Linked DNA regions of Sus scrofa. The protein of the gene in region 1 purifies or fractionates together with the protein of each later gene. This does not show direct contact. Links are inferred from orthologs where the notes say so. Each region holds a gene or a part of one and is shown in the gene's direction. Other genes may lie near its edges.

What was found.
Region 2: the proteins of SLC39A4 (region 1) and GOLM1 purify together in Homo sapiens (affinity purification with mass spectrometry; 3 studies listed by BioGRID and IntAct, counting the BioPlex papers as one, with this or other methods). This does not show direct contact. The link is inferred for Sus scrofa from reciprocal best matches to the Homo sapiens genes SLC39A4 and GOLM1.

The regions. Positions count from the first base shown.
Region 1 is NC_010446.5:370,143-376,527, forward strand, and holds the start of SLC39A4 (zinc transporter ZIP4), read left to right. Parts: upstream 1-2,538; 5' UTR 2,539-2,780; intron 2,781-3,354; 5' UTR 3,355-3,647; coding exon 3,648-4,214; intron 4,215-4,672; coding exon 4,673-4,957; intron 4,958-5,409; coding exon 5,410-5,605; intron 5,606-5,705; coding exon 5,706-5,857; intron 5,858-5,946; coding exon 5,947-6,118; intron 6,119-6,385. UniProt on the Homo sapiens protein: Selective transporter that mediates the uptake of Zn(2+). Plays an essential role for dietary zinc uptake from small intestine. The Zn(2+) uniporter activity is regulated by zinc availability.
Region 2 is NC_010452.4:29,114,962-29,121,200, forward strand, and holds the start of GOLM1 (Golgi membrane protein 1), read left to right. Parts: upstream 1-2,616; 5' UTR 2,617-2,765; intron 2,766-3,325; exon of another isoform or gene 3,326-3,498; intron 3,499-6,239.

The DNA.
Region 1 (6,385 bases):
CCAGATCATTAACCCACTGAGCAAGGGCAGGGATCGAACCCTCAACCTTCTGGTTCCTAGTCGGATTCATTAACCACTGCGCCACAACGGGAACTCCTTTTTTTTTGTTGTTATTATTATTTTTAAATAGTTATTTCCCCAACACAATTTTTTTCCCACCATACAGCATGGTGACCCAGTTACACACATGTACACATTCTATTTTCCCCCATTATCAGGCTCCATCATAAGTGACTAGACATAGTTCCCAGTGCTACACAGCAGGATCTCATTGCTCATCCATTCCAAAGGCAACAGTTTGCGTCTATTGACCCCAGACTCCCAGTCCATCCCACTCCCTCCTCCTCCCCCTTGGCAACCACAAGTCTATTCTCTAAATCCATGATTTTCTTTTCTGTGGAAAGGTTCATTTGCACCTTATATTAAATTCCAGGTAGAAGTGAGATCATATGGTATTCGTCTTTCTCTTTCTGACTTCACACTATGAGAGTCTCTAGTTCCATCCATGTTGCTGCAAATGGCATTTCATTTTTTATGGCTGAGTAGTATTCCACTGTGTATACATACCACATCTTCCTAACCCAAACATCTGTCGATGGACATCTGGGTTGTTTCTATGTCTTGGCTATTGTGAATAGAGCTGCAATGAACATGTGGTGCATGCATCTTTTTTAAGGAAAGTTTTGTCCAGATATATGCCCAAGAGTGGGATTGCTGGGTCATATGGTCATTCTATGTACGGGTTTCCTAAGGTATCTCCATACTGCTCTCCATAGTGGTTGTACCAGCTTACATTCCCACCAGCAGTGGGCGTCTGTTTTTAGACAGGAGCAGCTGCAGTGTGCAGGCAGGAGCCAGGCAGACATGCAGGGGAGTCGGCAGTGCTCTCCACAGCTGCTCTGGGCTGGGAAGGAGGGCATAGGGTGGGGGGCCATCAGCAGAGAAGTGTGGGCCAGCACAGATGTTCTGAAGCCTCAGGGCATGCCAGCCATGGGTCAGGCCTCCAGCAGGGGACCTGGCAAGGCCGGCTGAATGGCTGGGCTGAGACCTTTCCCCAGCAGATAACGGGGCCTTGAGCAGAGGAAGAGCTGAAGCGGTGGCCTGGTCCCCAGCTCCAGCTCTCGCCGGCCCAAAGGTCCTGGCAAGATGGGCTAGGAAACAGGCAGTCTGGCCCACAGATGTCACAGCTGGGGGGACAGGGGGTGGCCAAGTCTTTCTGGCTTAACCTCCTCATGGACCAGGGGTCCAGGAATCCTCTGAACCCCTGACAACTCTTCCCATCCCCCGCTTCCCCAACATCCCTTTAAGACCCACCAATGTCACACTGCAGGGCCATCCAGCCGCACCTGAACCCAAGCCCAGGACACTGTCCTCAGCCTGATGCCACAGGACAATGGGGGCAGAGTCCTCAGGGCCTAGGGTCCGCTCCCTGGAGCCTCTCCTCCCCCACTGCAGCCACACCCTGCAGGGTCAGGGCCAAGGGTCTGTGTGGAGCCAGGTGTGGAAGGCAAGGCGGCCCTGAAGGCTGAACAGGGTGTTCCATGGGGCCCCTTTCCCCAGACTGCCAACAAGGCAGAGATAAGGCCTAGGCGTTCAAAGGCCAGAGTGGGAACCAGCAAGGAAGGGCAGGGCCGGGCCTGGAGCCTGGCGGCCCCTCACTGAGTGGTGGGGGGGGCTTGGGCTCCTGTTTAGCCATTTCTTGGGGAACTTCCCCTGGAGGAGGAGCAGGACCCAGCAGGACTTTAGCCCCCCTCAGACTCCAGCCCACCCCAGCATGGAGACCTCATCCAGGGACCCCAGTGGAGAGGGCCCCTCATCCCCACCGGAGGAAGAGCTCAAAGGCTCTGGGGCATCTAAGCTGCCCGAGCTGGGAGGCCCTGGACAGCAGCCTGGGACCTTTGTCCCAGGCCCCGTGGCTTGGGAGCAGCCCCTAGAGAAAGGGCCATAGGTAGCGACACCCAGACTGAATTCGAGTCCCCAAACCGAGTACCCCTGCAGAGTTTGTACTTAACTCCTGGATGCAAAGTGCCATTCCTGCACTTACCTAACACCTGTTCTCCTCAAGACTGAGATGCCTCCCAAGGTGGGGGCGGGGAGACTGAGCAGGACTCTGCAGGGGCCTCCTGAGCACAAACCCATTCCGTGTCCCCCACTTCTTGTTTGTAGGAAACAGGCTTCATCCAGCCCCCTAAGACCGTCCTGGCCTGAGTTCCAAGGGCAGATTCCAGCCGAAGCTAATCAGGGAAGCGAAGGAATGCAGAAAAGGGAGGGACCGTCAAGATGGGCTCACACACCCTGGGCAGGGTCCAGGTTCCTCCTTGAGGGACACACAGACCGATATCCTTGAGCTCCTCCGAGGAGCTAAGGCTCCCGCCCCGGCCAAGGAAGGAGACCCCAGGCTGGCTGGAACCTTAGGGCTGAAGACCGAGAGTCCTGGAACAGCACCGTGACCTCGCCACTGACCAATCAGAACAAAGCTGGCACACACACACACTCGCAGGCACGCACACACGCGCGCACACACACGCGCGCACACACACACTCGCAGGCACGCGCACGCGCGCGCACACACACACTCGCAGGCACGCGCGGGCGCACACACTCGCAGGCACGCGCGCGCCTGCACACACACACTCGCAGGCACGCACACGCACTGCAGCCCTCAAACCAAATCCTGCCTGTTAAAAACTTCTCCCCCACTGCTGGGAGCCGAATTTCGAGAAAGGAATCTGCCTGATGACAAAGTCCGGGGGATTCTGAAGAAGTCTGCAAAGCAGCAGGTTTGCTGTTTGCTAGGCCCCCCAGAAACCAGAAGCCGTGATGCCTGGGGATACAGTCCTTTGTGTTTTCTTTGTTTTCAATAACTGATCTGTGTCCTGCTCACACTGTGCCTTGTCTACTGTTTGTTCTTTCACCCTAAGAAAAGAATTAATTCCCTTCTGTTTAAATCTTGAATTAGTCTTGCCTGCTGGCCTTTGGTCATCTCTAGAGTATGGCTCCATGCTGTTTATTACGGAGAGAATGGTTTTTTGGAAGGGATTTCTGTTTTCTGCAAGATAATCTTCGATAGTATTGGTATGCATTATTCAGCTAAAGTTTATTTAGAATAAAATAAAATACAGTTTAGAAATTGCTGATGATTGTTGTCTTGATTTAGGCAGAGAATGTATCAAAGATTATTATGATATAAAAATTAAAATAGGGTTACTGTTAAGATAGTAACCAGGCATTTTATTTTGAAGAAACAACAATACGCATGCGACATTTGCAAAGGTTGCTTGCGGCCTACATGTGACTTTAGCTACCTGCCCGGTTGCTCTTTAATGGGTTGATGGCGTACTTTCCCCCATCCAGGTGCCTTTTTCTGTCTTTACACTTAAACTGTAACCCTGGAGCAGTCACGAGATATTGATCTTCTTCGCCGATGTAAGTTGTAGGTTCTTTCCCTGTATAAGCTGCTGCTGTTCATCCTTGCACTGGAGACCGCTTGAGCGCTGCTCCAGAGGGTGTGCGATTCCGCTCTTCCTGCGCCCGCCGCCCCTCCTCTTCGGGAAACCCCCTGACCGCCGGGGCGGGACCCCGGGACCCCAGCGCCCCAAACCCTCTGGGAACTCAGGGCTTTGCACACACGCCACCTGTCTCCTGGAATGGCCTGCAGTAAAACTTTCTCTGCTCCAAAGGGTGACGTTTTGTTTGCTTGGCCTCACTGCGCCTTGGGCAGGGTTTCCGTACCAAGACCCTCGGGGGAGTGGGGTAGGGGGTGGCGGCCCTGCCCTGCGGCTCTGGGTGGCCCATCCAGGAGGGGCCCAGCCCTCGCCCCCCAGGGCGGCCACTTCAAGCGGGGAGGATCTGCCGCTGGAATGGTTAACCCAGGACGCCTCCGCAGCCAATCACAGGGCCCCGCGGGCAAGGCCCGGAGGGCGCCTGGCCGGGCCCAGCCCCAGTCCGGCACCGGGCAGCCCATGCAGCCTGCAGCCATCCTGGCGCGTGCCACCTCCCCAGAGCGCGCAGCCCCCGGGGGCCGCAGCATGGCTGGCCTGGCCCGGCTGGGGCTGCTGCTGGCTGTGCTGCTGGCCTCCGCAACGGCGACCCAACCGGCCCGGCTGCTGACCTTGCTGTCCTCAGGCCAAGGCGTTCTGGACCGCGTGGCGCTGGGCGGCCTGTTAAATACACTGGCGGCCCGTGTGCACTGCGCCACCGGGCCGTGTGGAAAGGTAAGGCCCCACCCGACGGGTCCCCCGGCTCCAGCCCGCCCCGAGGCCCGGCAGCAAAGGGCCCTGGGTAAACTCCAGGAGGCGGGCCGAGCGGCGGCCAGGCGCCCTGACCTTGCTGGCCCAAGCCCACCCTCCTCTGCTGGGCATTCGGAGGGACCTGCCTTCCCGGATGGGGGCTGCACTGGGTCCCCCACCCCGTGCTCACCAGATCAAACTGGCGTGTCTGGGAAGAGACCGCCCTGGGCGGGCGGGACCCCTCCGTGTGTTGTGCGTGCACCTCTGTCCCTGGGGTGGGGTGGGGAAGGGTGTGGGGAGCAGTGAGAGGGGGCGTGAGGGTGACAGAGCCTGAGGATGGTGGTCCACGTGTGGCCCCCCCCCGGGAAAGGGGGCAGCTCCAGCTCCGGGGTCACAGATGCCTGGCCCCTGCCCGCCCATCTCATCTCCGCCTCTGCCCACAGTGCCTGTCGGTGGACGACGCCCTGGCCCTGGGCAGGCCTGAGAAGCCAGGACTCCCCTCCAGCCCAGTGCTGGAGCCCAGGCACATCGCCCGCCTGAGCGCTGCCTCTGCCCTTTACCTCAGCGACCCCGAGGGCACATGCACAGACGTGCGTGCTGGCCGCTGGGCCTCACGAGCCGACCACCTCCTGGCCCAGCTCCAGAGCCCAGAGGCCCTGACCCTGGGTCTGACCAGGTTGCTGCAGAGGATTCAGTCCCAGGCTGTCGGCTGGTCCCCTTCAGAGGGGGTGAGGGCCCTGGCCAGGAGAGCCAGTGGGGGGACTGCTTAGGGGGTGAGGCCTCAACGCCTTTCTGGGCCCGTGGGAGACCTGGGGACACAGCGGGGAGGCCGGGCTGGGAGAATCACAAATTGTGTTCACCGCGGAGTAGGGCCGGGCTGCAGGAGTCCCAGGAGGGGCCCTCGCCAGAGAGCTCCTGGGGCTACAGGGAGGCGCTGGGGTGGGAGTGTCAAGGGGGGCAGTCTGGACCAGCTGGGCCAGGAAGGGGAAGGGGAAGGGCTGCGGTAGCAGGGAGGGGCGGGGCAGGGGCGGGGCCCAGGCCTTAGGTGGGCGGGAAGAGGTGGTGCTGGGAGGCGGCTGGTCTGGGTCAGAGGTGTCCAGGGGACACAAAAGGCTACGGCAGAGCTAGAGGTCAGGAAGGCCACACTGCCCGTTGAGGCTGAGCCCCAGCTCCTCCCCAGGCCTGTGTGGACCTGCCTCAGCTGCTGGAGGAGGCGGCCAGGGCGGGGGCTCCTGGCAGCCCCGGCCCGGTGCTCGCTGCTCTGCTGGACCATGCCAGGAGCGGCTCCTGCTTCCGTGCCCTGCCGACCCCTCAGTACTTCGTGGACTTTGTGTTCCGGGAGCACAGTGGCGAGACTCCCAACATCACACTGGCTGGTGAGGCAGAGCAGGGCCCACCACCCCTGCCCCCTCCATGCCCTAGGGGAGGGCAGGTCTGCGACCCACACAAACTTTGTGATTCTGCCCTCTCGGCCAGAGCTGGCAGCCCTGATGCAGCGCCTGGGCGTGGGCGGAGTGAGCGAGCCCCATGGTGACCACAGCGAGCAGGGTCATCTGGGAAAGGAAGCCAGCCAGCCTGGCCCCGTGCCCCCTGCCAGCCCCAACAGCAGCTCCAGCGTGTGGGACACGGTGAGCAACCTGTGCATCCTAGTCCTGGAGAGAGATGGGGTCCCAGGGTCTGCTCAGGTCCCTGACCCCCAGTCCTGTCACGCTCGCAGATGTGCCTGAGTGCCGGAGACGTGATGGCTGTGTATGGGCTGTCTGAGCAGGCTGGGGTGACCCCGGAGGCCTGGGCCCAGCTGAGCCCTGCCCTGCTCCAGCAACAGCTGAGTGGGGCCTGCAGCCCCCAACCCATGCACCCCACCCAGGACCAGCTCAGCCAGTCAGAGAGTGAGTGCCCACCTCCCCAGCTGTGCCTGCCTGGCCAAGCCCTGGGGCCTGGCAGATGGAGGTGGGACCACAGAGCGAGCAGGGAGCGGCCGCTGGGCTGGGAGGCATGGGAGAGCTGGGCCAGGACTGGGCAGAGGAGAGTGGCACCGGAGTAGGGGGTCAGGGCCAGTGTGGAGGCCTGGAAGGGAAGAAGGTGGGGCTTGGAGGCCCGCTGACTGAGCGGAGGCCAGGCCTGCCCCTGAGCACCTGCGGTCTGGGTGAGCTCCC
Region 2 (6,239 bases), on another chromosome or scaffold:
AGCACAGGAACCAGCCCCACAGACCTACAAGCCAAAATTGATGTCTGTCACCACAGAGATAAGTACATATCAGTCTTTTTAAAGCATTGTGTCCTCGCTTTGTTCATCCCAGAAACAGAGTGTAATGACGGTAAGGTCTGTGGTAGGCAAAATAACAGCCCATCAAGATGTTCCTGTCTTGGAGTTCCCGTCGTGGCGCAGTGGTTAACGAATCCGACTAGGAACCATGAGGTCGGGGTTCGTCCTGCCTTGCTCAGTGGGTAACATCCGGCGTGCCGTGAGCTGTGGTGTAGGTGCAGACTCGGCTCGGATCCACGTTGCTGTGGCTCTGGCGTAGGCGGTAGCTACAGCTCCGATTCAACCCTAGCCTGGAACTCCATATGCCGAAGCGCCCGAGATAGCAATAACAACAACAACAAACAACAAAAAAAAAAAAAAAAAAAAAAAAAAACAAAAAAAACTATAAAAAAAAAAAAAAAAAAAAAAAAAAAAGATGTTCCTGTCTTAATCCCTGAAACCTGTCAAAGTTACCTTGAATGGCAAAAGCGCCTTTGCAGAGGTGATTAAATTAAGGACCCGCGCTAAGGAGATTATCTTGGATCATTTGGGTGGAACCAATGGAATCACAAAGGTCCTCAAAAGTGAAGCAACTTGGAGTTCCTGTCATGGCTCAGCTGAAACAAATCTAATCCATGAGGAGGCAGGTTTGATCCCTGGCCTTGCTCAGTGGTTTAAGGATCCAAAGTTGCTGTGAGCTGTGGTGTAGGTCGCAGATGTGGCTCAGATCTGGCATTGCTGGGGCTGAGGCTGTGTCCGTGGCTGTGTCCGTGGCTGTGGCTAGTGGCTACAGCTCCCATTCGATCCCTAGCCTGGGAACCTCCATATGCCGCGGGCCTGGCCCTTAAAAAAAAAAGTGAAGAAACTTTCTCAGCTGGATCTGAGAGAAGTGACTATGGAAGTGGGATTAGAGAGGTATTCCTGATTTTGAAGCTTGCTGGTTTGGAAAATAAAAGAAGCCGGTTATGAGCTGAAGAATGCAAGCAGTCTCTAGACACTGGAAAAGGCAATAAAATGGATCTTCTTGAGAGCCTCTGGAAAGGAATGGAGCCCTGCTGACACCTTGGTTTTAGCCCAGTGAGATTTTTGACTAACAGAACCGTGTCATTTTAACTCTAGGTGTGTGATAATTTGTTAGGGCAGCAAACAGAAAACAAATGCAAAGGGTCTACCCCTTGAGCTGCAGAGGACATCACTTTGATTGACAGCCCAACCAAGGCTATATCCCTTGGAGAGCAGGAGATAAGTGCCTGTATGGAAATCAGGTGCCATTAGCTAGTAAGGGAAAGGATGCTGAACAGACAAAACCGGTGCCACTGCCACCAACCCCCGTTGGCCCCGTGCACATTGTTTAATCAACATCTCTCCAGCAGAATTTTTAAAGTCAGCAACTGATTACATCAAACCCTCTGGGTGAGAAGACTTGAGAAAATAGAAGAGAGCTTTATAAAGAATGTAAATCCTTTTACATATGCACTATTGCATATATAAGTATTGTCTCTTCAAAGAACTTCAAAAGAATGTCTTAAAAATTCTCAATTTCGTCACGAAGATTCTTATAAAGCTTGAAAAGGGCTGATTCTCTTTCAGTGAAGATGTAGTTAATGTAGCCAGCTTCCCTAGTACCTAGACATATGGACCTCTCCCATAAAGTGCTTAAGAATTACTGACTTCATCACTAATTAGCTGTTGATAAATGAGCAACACTAATGGAGACCTACTTAGAGGCAAATGAGATGGAAGTTACAGTCCACAATCTAAGAAGGCACAACATTACTAGGAGAGCCAAAAGGGGCAATGAGGGAAATTACTGTTCTTGTCCCAAAGCCCTGATTTTGGACACTGAAGGTCAGCAGAAGATCAGCACCAAGAGCTTCAAGTCAAACCCTCAGAAAAGCCAGGTCTCAGGGGCAACAACACACTCTCAGCTTTTGAACACCTGGTGTGACCAGCTGGCAGTCTAACAACAGGTAATGAAAACATCATATTGGACTCTACAGAATATGACTCCAAAGGGGTCATTATTGCCAGCTCATTATTCAGGTAAAAGATTTTGGCTCATAAAGATACTCATCCTGAAGTTAAGGAGACCCATGCTCAGGTGGTACTAAAGCATCTTGGTCACCATTTTCAAGATAAGCCTGTTTGGGTGGAAAACAATTTTGGCTGTGAGCATCCCCTCAGGAGCATGTCCCTTTTTCTTCGGCATTGGGATTTGGGACAGGTGAGCCAAGGGGCTCTTTTCCCAGGCACCAGAGCCAGGTAGATTCAAAAAGAGCTGATTCTAGGGAAATGATTTCAATCCTGGCCATATGTTAGAACTATCAGGGAAACCTTCAAACAAAAATACCAATGCTCAGGCTCAGAACTCCAGAGGTGGGACCCTGGCAATACTCTAAGAGCTCCCAGATAATTCTAACGTCTGACTAGCGCTGTGAGGGTTAAGAACCACTGCTTTAGAATTTTCTAGTATCGTTATTCCATCGGTCATTAGTCCGTGCCATCATCCTCTCAGGCAGGTGTGGCTCAACAACGCTTCTCAAACTTCCGTGTGCCGAAGGGGCAGCAGGGCAGTGTTTACAAATCAGACTCCCAGTCTCCGTCTGCAGGGAGTTCTAGAGACTCCCGCTTGCGCAGCGCCCAGCAATCTTCGTTTTATCTGGGGCTTGCGCTCGGAGGGTCGCAAACCGACAAATTAGCGCTGAGAGGTAACAGCCGTGGGGAGGTCAGGGCTACATGGGAAGGGCTGGTGGAAGAGAAAGGCACACTGGTGAGGAGATTCCCTAGAGACCCGTCTTTCCTCGGTCCCTCTACGCTGGGCGGTTTGGCCCGGGACCACTGAAAAAGGAGACGTGAGCGCGGCCAGGAGTGCGGCGCTGGGTGTGGTCGTCTCTGGGTTCCGGAAAATTCCTTCGGGGCGGGGGTGGGCCGCGGGGGTAGGATGCGGGGTGGGGTGGGTAGGTGGTCTCGCTGGGTCCCTTCCCTCCGCCGCCGCTTCCCACCCTACGCCCGTCCTTCGGAAGCATCGGCACCGCGCAACTCTGCTCTCGAACCGCGTCCCGAAGACACGCCGGGAGCCACTGCAAGGGGTTGGGAAGGGGCGGCGGGAGGGGGCGCGCCGGGATTGTTCGGCTCCCGCCGAGGGGCGGCCGCGGGCCCGGGTGCGCGCACCGTGGGGCCGGCGTCCGGGCGCAGCCCCGGCCTCGCCTCCTCCTCGCGCTCGCGGCGCCGCCTCCCTCCCTGCGCCGGCGGCGCTGCCCGGGGGCGGGGTCTCGCGGCTGCGGAGGCCGGAGACGCGGCGGCGCTGGGCGCCGCGCGGGGCACTGGGCTCGGAGCAGGCGGGAAGCGAGAGGCCGGCGGCGGCGGCGGCGGGAGGGCGGCTCGGGCGGCCTGGAAGCCGGGTCCCGCAGCACCAAGGGGCCGCCAGAGCTTCGGCCAGAGGTGAGTGGGCGGCGCGCGTGCCCCGCGTGCCCTCTGGCAGCCTTCTCTCTCCTTGTCCCTCCTCGGTTCCGGGCCCGCGCTGAAGGACCCCGCGCCGGGCCCCGGAGACACCCCCCCGGCTGGCACCTGGGCCGCAGCCTTTTACTGAAATCGGTTCGGGGTGGGCTCTGCATCTCCCCGCTCCAGAGCTTCCTTCCCGGGACCGCCCCGACCCGCTGGGCTGCCCTGCGGAGGCCGGTCTGGGGAGATGCGGGGCCTCGCTTTTTGTTCTTAGCTGTGTCACGCGCGTCGGGATCCAAAGTCGAAAGCGTGCATCCCCAAAGTCGCGCTAGGACCAGCGGTGCGGGCGTGATTGACGCGCGGGGAGGGCGGGCTGGCTCCGCCGCTCATCTTCTTCTCTTTCCCCTCCGCCCCGGGCGCGCTCGGGCCGCCGCGGTGCCCACGTTGGCAGCGGTCGCGCCCTGGCAGGTGACCGGGAGCCTGACGCCCGGTCCTGGGGCCTCGAGGTGCCGAACTCCTTTGAAGCCTGCCTCAGATTTGCTTTAGGTTCTCTTCCGTACGTACCTGTACCTTTGGCGGTGTTGGGGATTCACAGAACTTTTGATCTGCTGGAAAAATAGTTTTCTGGGTTGACATACTCTGTATACCTCACGCCCTATTTAGTATTTGTAATGATTTTTCTGTGTATGTGTGAAACAAAATAGGCGAAACACCTATTTTGATGAATGTTCTTTTTAGCGGAATTTAAGTATGATCGTATTTAGTGTGTCATGATGCTTCTGATCAATTTCAGAGATCCCGTTTCCAATTGTGCCAAACCAAACTTGTGTGGCTTTCACGGTTTTGAGATTTTCTTTGTCTGGTTTAGGGTCTCCAAGGCCCAGTTGCCCTAAATTGTGCACTTGTTGGGGGACATTCCTGGGGACAGAGTAAGATGCCCAGGAGCCTGATGAAATACTTAGGTTCTAGAGTGACTCTGGCTCATGGCCATGAGATTGACTCAAATTTAGGTAGTTGTCATATTTTTCAATTTTTTGTAGCATGGGACCTCGGGAGTAGTGGACTCTTGTCCGTCCTTGTGGGTCTCCTAGGGCATCCCAATTCCTATGTTTGTTATAGAAGATTAAGCTTATGCTTTTGGGAAGAATACTTTTTATTTGTAGACAGAAACGAGTCACTTGCTAAGACTTTTTGTTCCTAGGTCAGAACTCAATTTTTTTTTGGTTTGTTTTTGTCTTTTTAGAGGCGCACCCCCCCCGCATATGGAAGTTCCCAGGCTAGGGGTCTAATTGCAGCTACATCCGCCGGCCTATACCACAGCACAGCAAAGCCAGATCCGAGCTGTGTCTTCGACCTGCACCACAGCTCACAGCAACACCGTATCCTTAACTCATTGAGTGAGGCCAGGGATGGAACCTGCATCCTCACGGATACTAGTCAGATTGTTTCTGCTGAGCCACGATGGGAACTTCGGAACTCAGTTTTTAAGGTGTCTGTGACCAAAAGGCATTGAATTCTTAGGATGTTTGAAGAAAACAGGTTAACGGCTCAAGATGTATTTTGTTCTACTGTGGAGATATTATCCCATTTTTTTCTTTCCCATTGATTTTGCTGAAAGATGAGAGACCAAGGATGAGAAGAGGGAATGCTGGGGGGAGGGGTCAGATTTCAAGGACTTTGCACTTAGGCGCTACGGATGCCTTCTTCTTTCTAATCGTTGGCCCTAGGTCCAGTTGTTGATGAGGAAATGAAAAGATTTTGCATTTATATTGTTTGGTTTTTTTTTTTGAGGGGTGGGGCTGAGACAGCTGTGAGGATGTTGACGGAGTTTGGCCCAGGGCTACCTTCGGTCCATTTATGCGGCCACTTTCCCCCAGCAGGGAGGGAACTGCTGACCCCGCTGAAGGTCCTGCGAACCGTGAGGCTGGCTTTCTGCATGCAGAGCACAAAGGGTATCAGGGTAGAGCCTGGGGAAGCTGCCTGGGGGGAGAGTGGAAGGTGGGGTGTCACTCTCGCTGGCTGTGCTGAGTGGGAACAGGATCCTGTGACAGACAGTTTAGTGCAAGGGAGCTTGAAGGCAGTGTAGTCCCTGAAGACCAGCCCTGCTTCTAAAGAGGCCCGGCATGGCCATGACAGGGGGAGGCAGGGACAGGGAGGAGAGGCCCTGTGCCTGGGGCTTTAATTGAGTTGTGTAATTGGTATTATCACTTGTTTTCCTTCACAAAAAATAAGTTGCCTTAAGAAAAGATTTCTTTTTTAATGACCTAACATAGGAAATAACATCCATAATTGGGTTAAAAAAAATAAGCACTTATTTTCTTTTTTTTTTTTTTTTTTTTGTTTTAAACTTGGTTAAAATTATTTTCTAAAGATTTGCAAAACTAGAGGGAATGGCCTTGATATGCTCTCGCGTTCACCCGAGCAAAGTGTGAATTGCATTTCACCTGCTCCCAGAGATGGTCCCAGATGGTGGTTATTTTCTTTTCTAGACTTTCCCGAGTTACCGATGAAATTACCTTGAAAAGAGAGACTTGGCTTGAAGTTTTAAGGGTTATTTCCTAAATTCCCAGAGAGTCTACTTTGCTTTCATAAAGAAATCTCTCACAGTTTCAGGGGAGAAAAAAATACATGCCTTCTCAGGTTTTTACAATATTTCAATCTTATTTTCCTTCTAGGCTGCATTAATAGAACTTTCTCTAGTTGAGATTTTGAAGATTAATTAGTGCCTGACCAACCAGAGA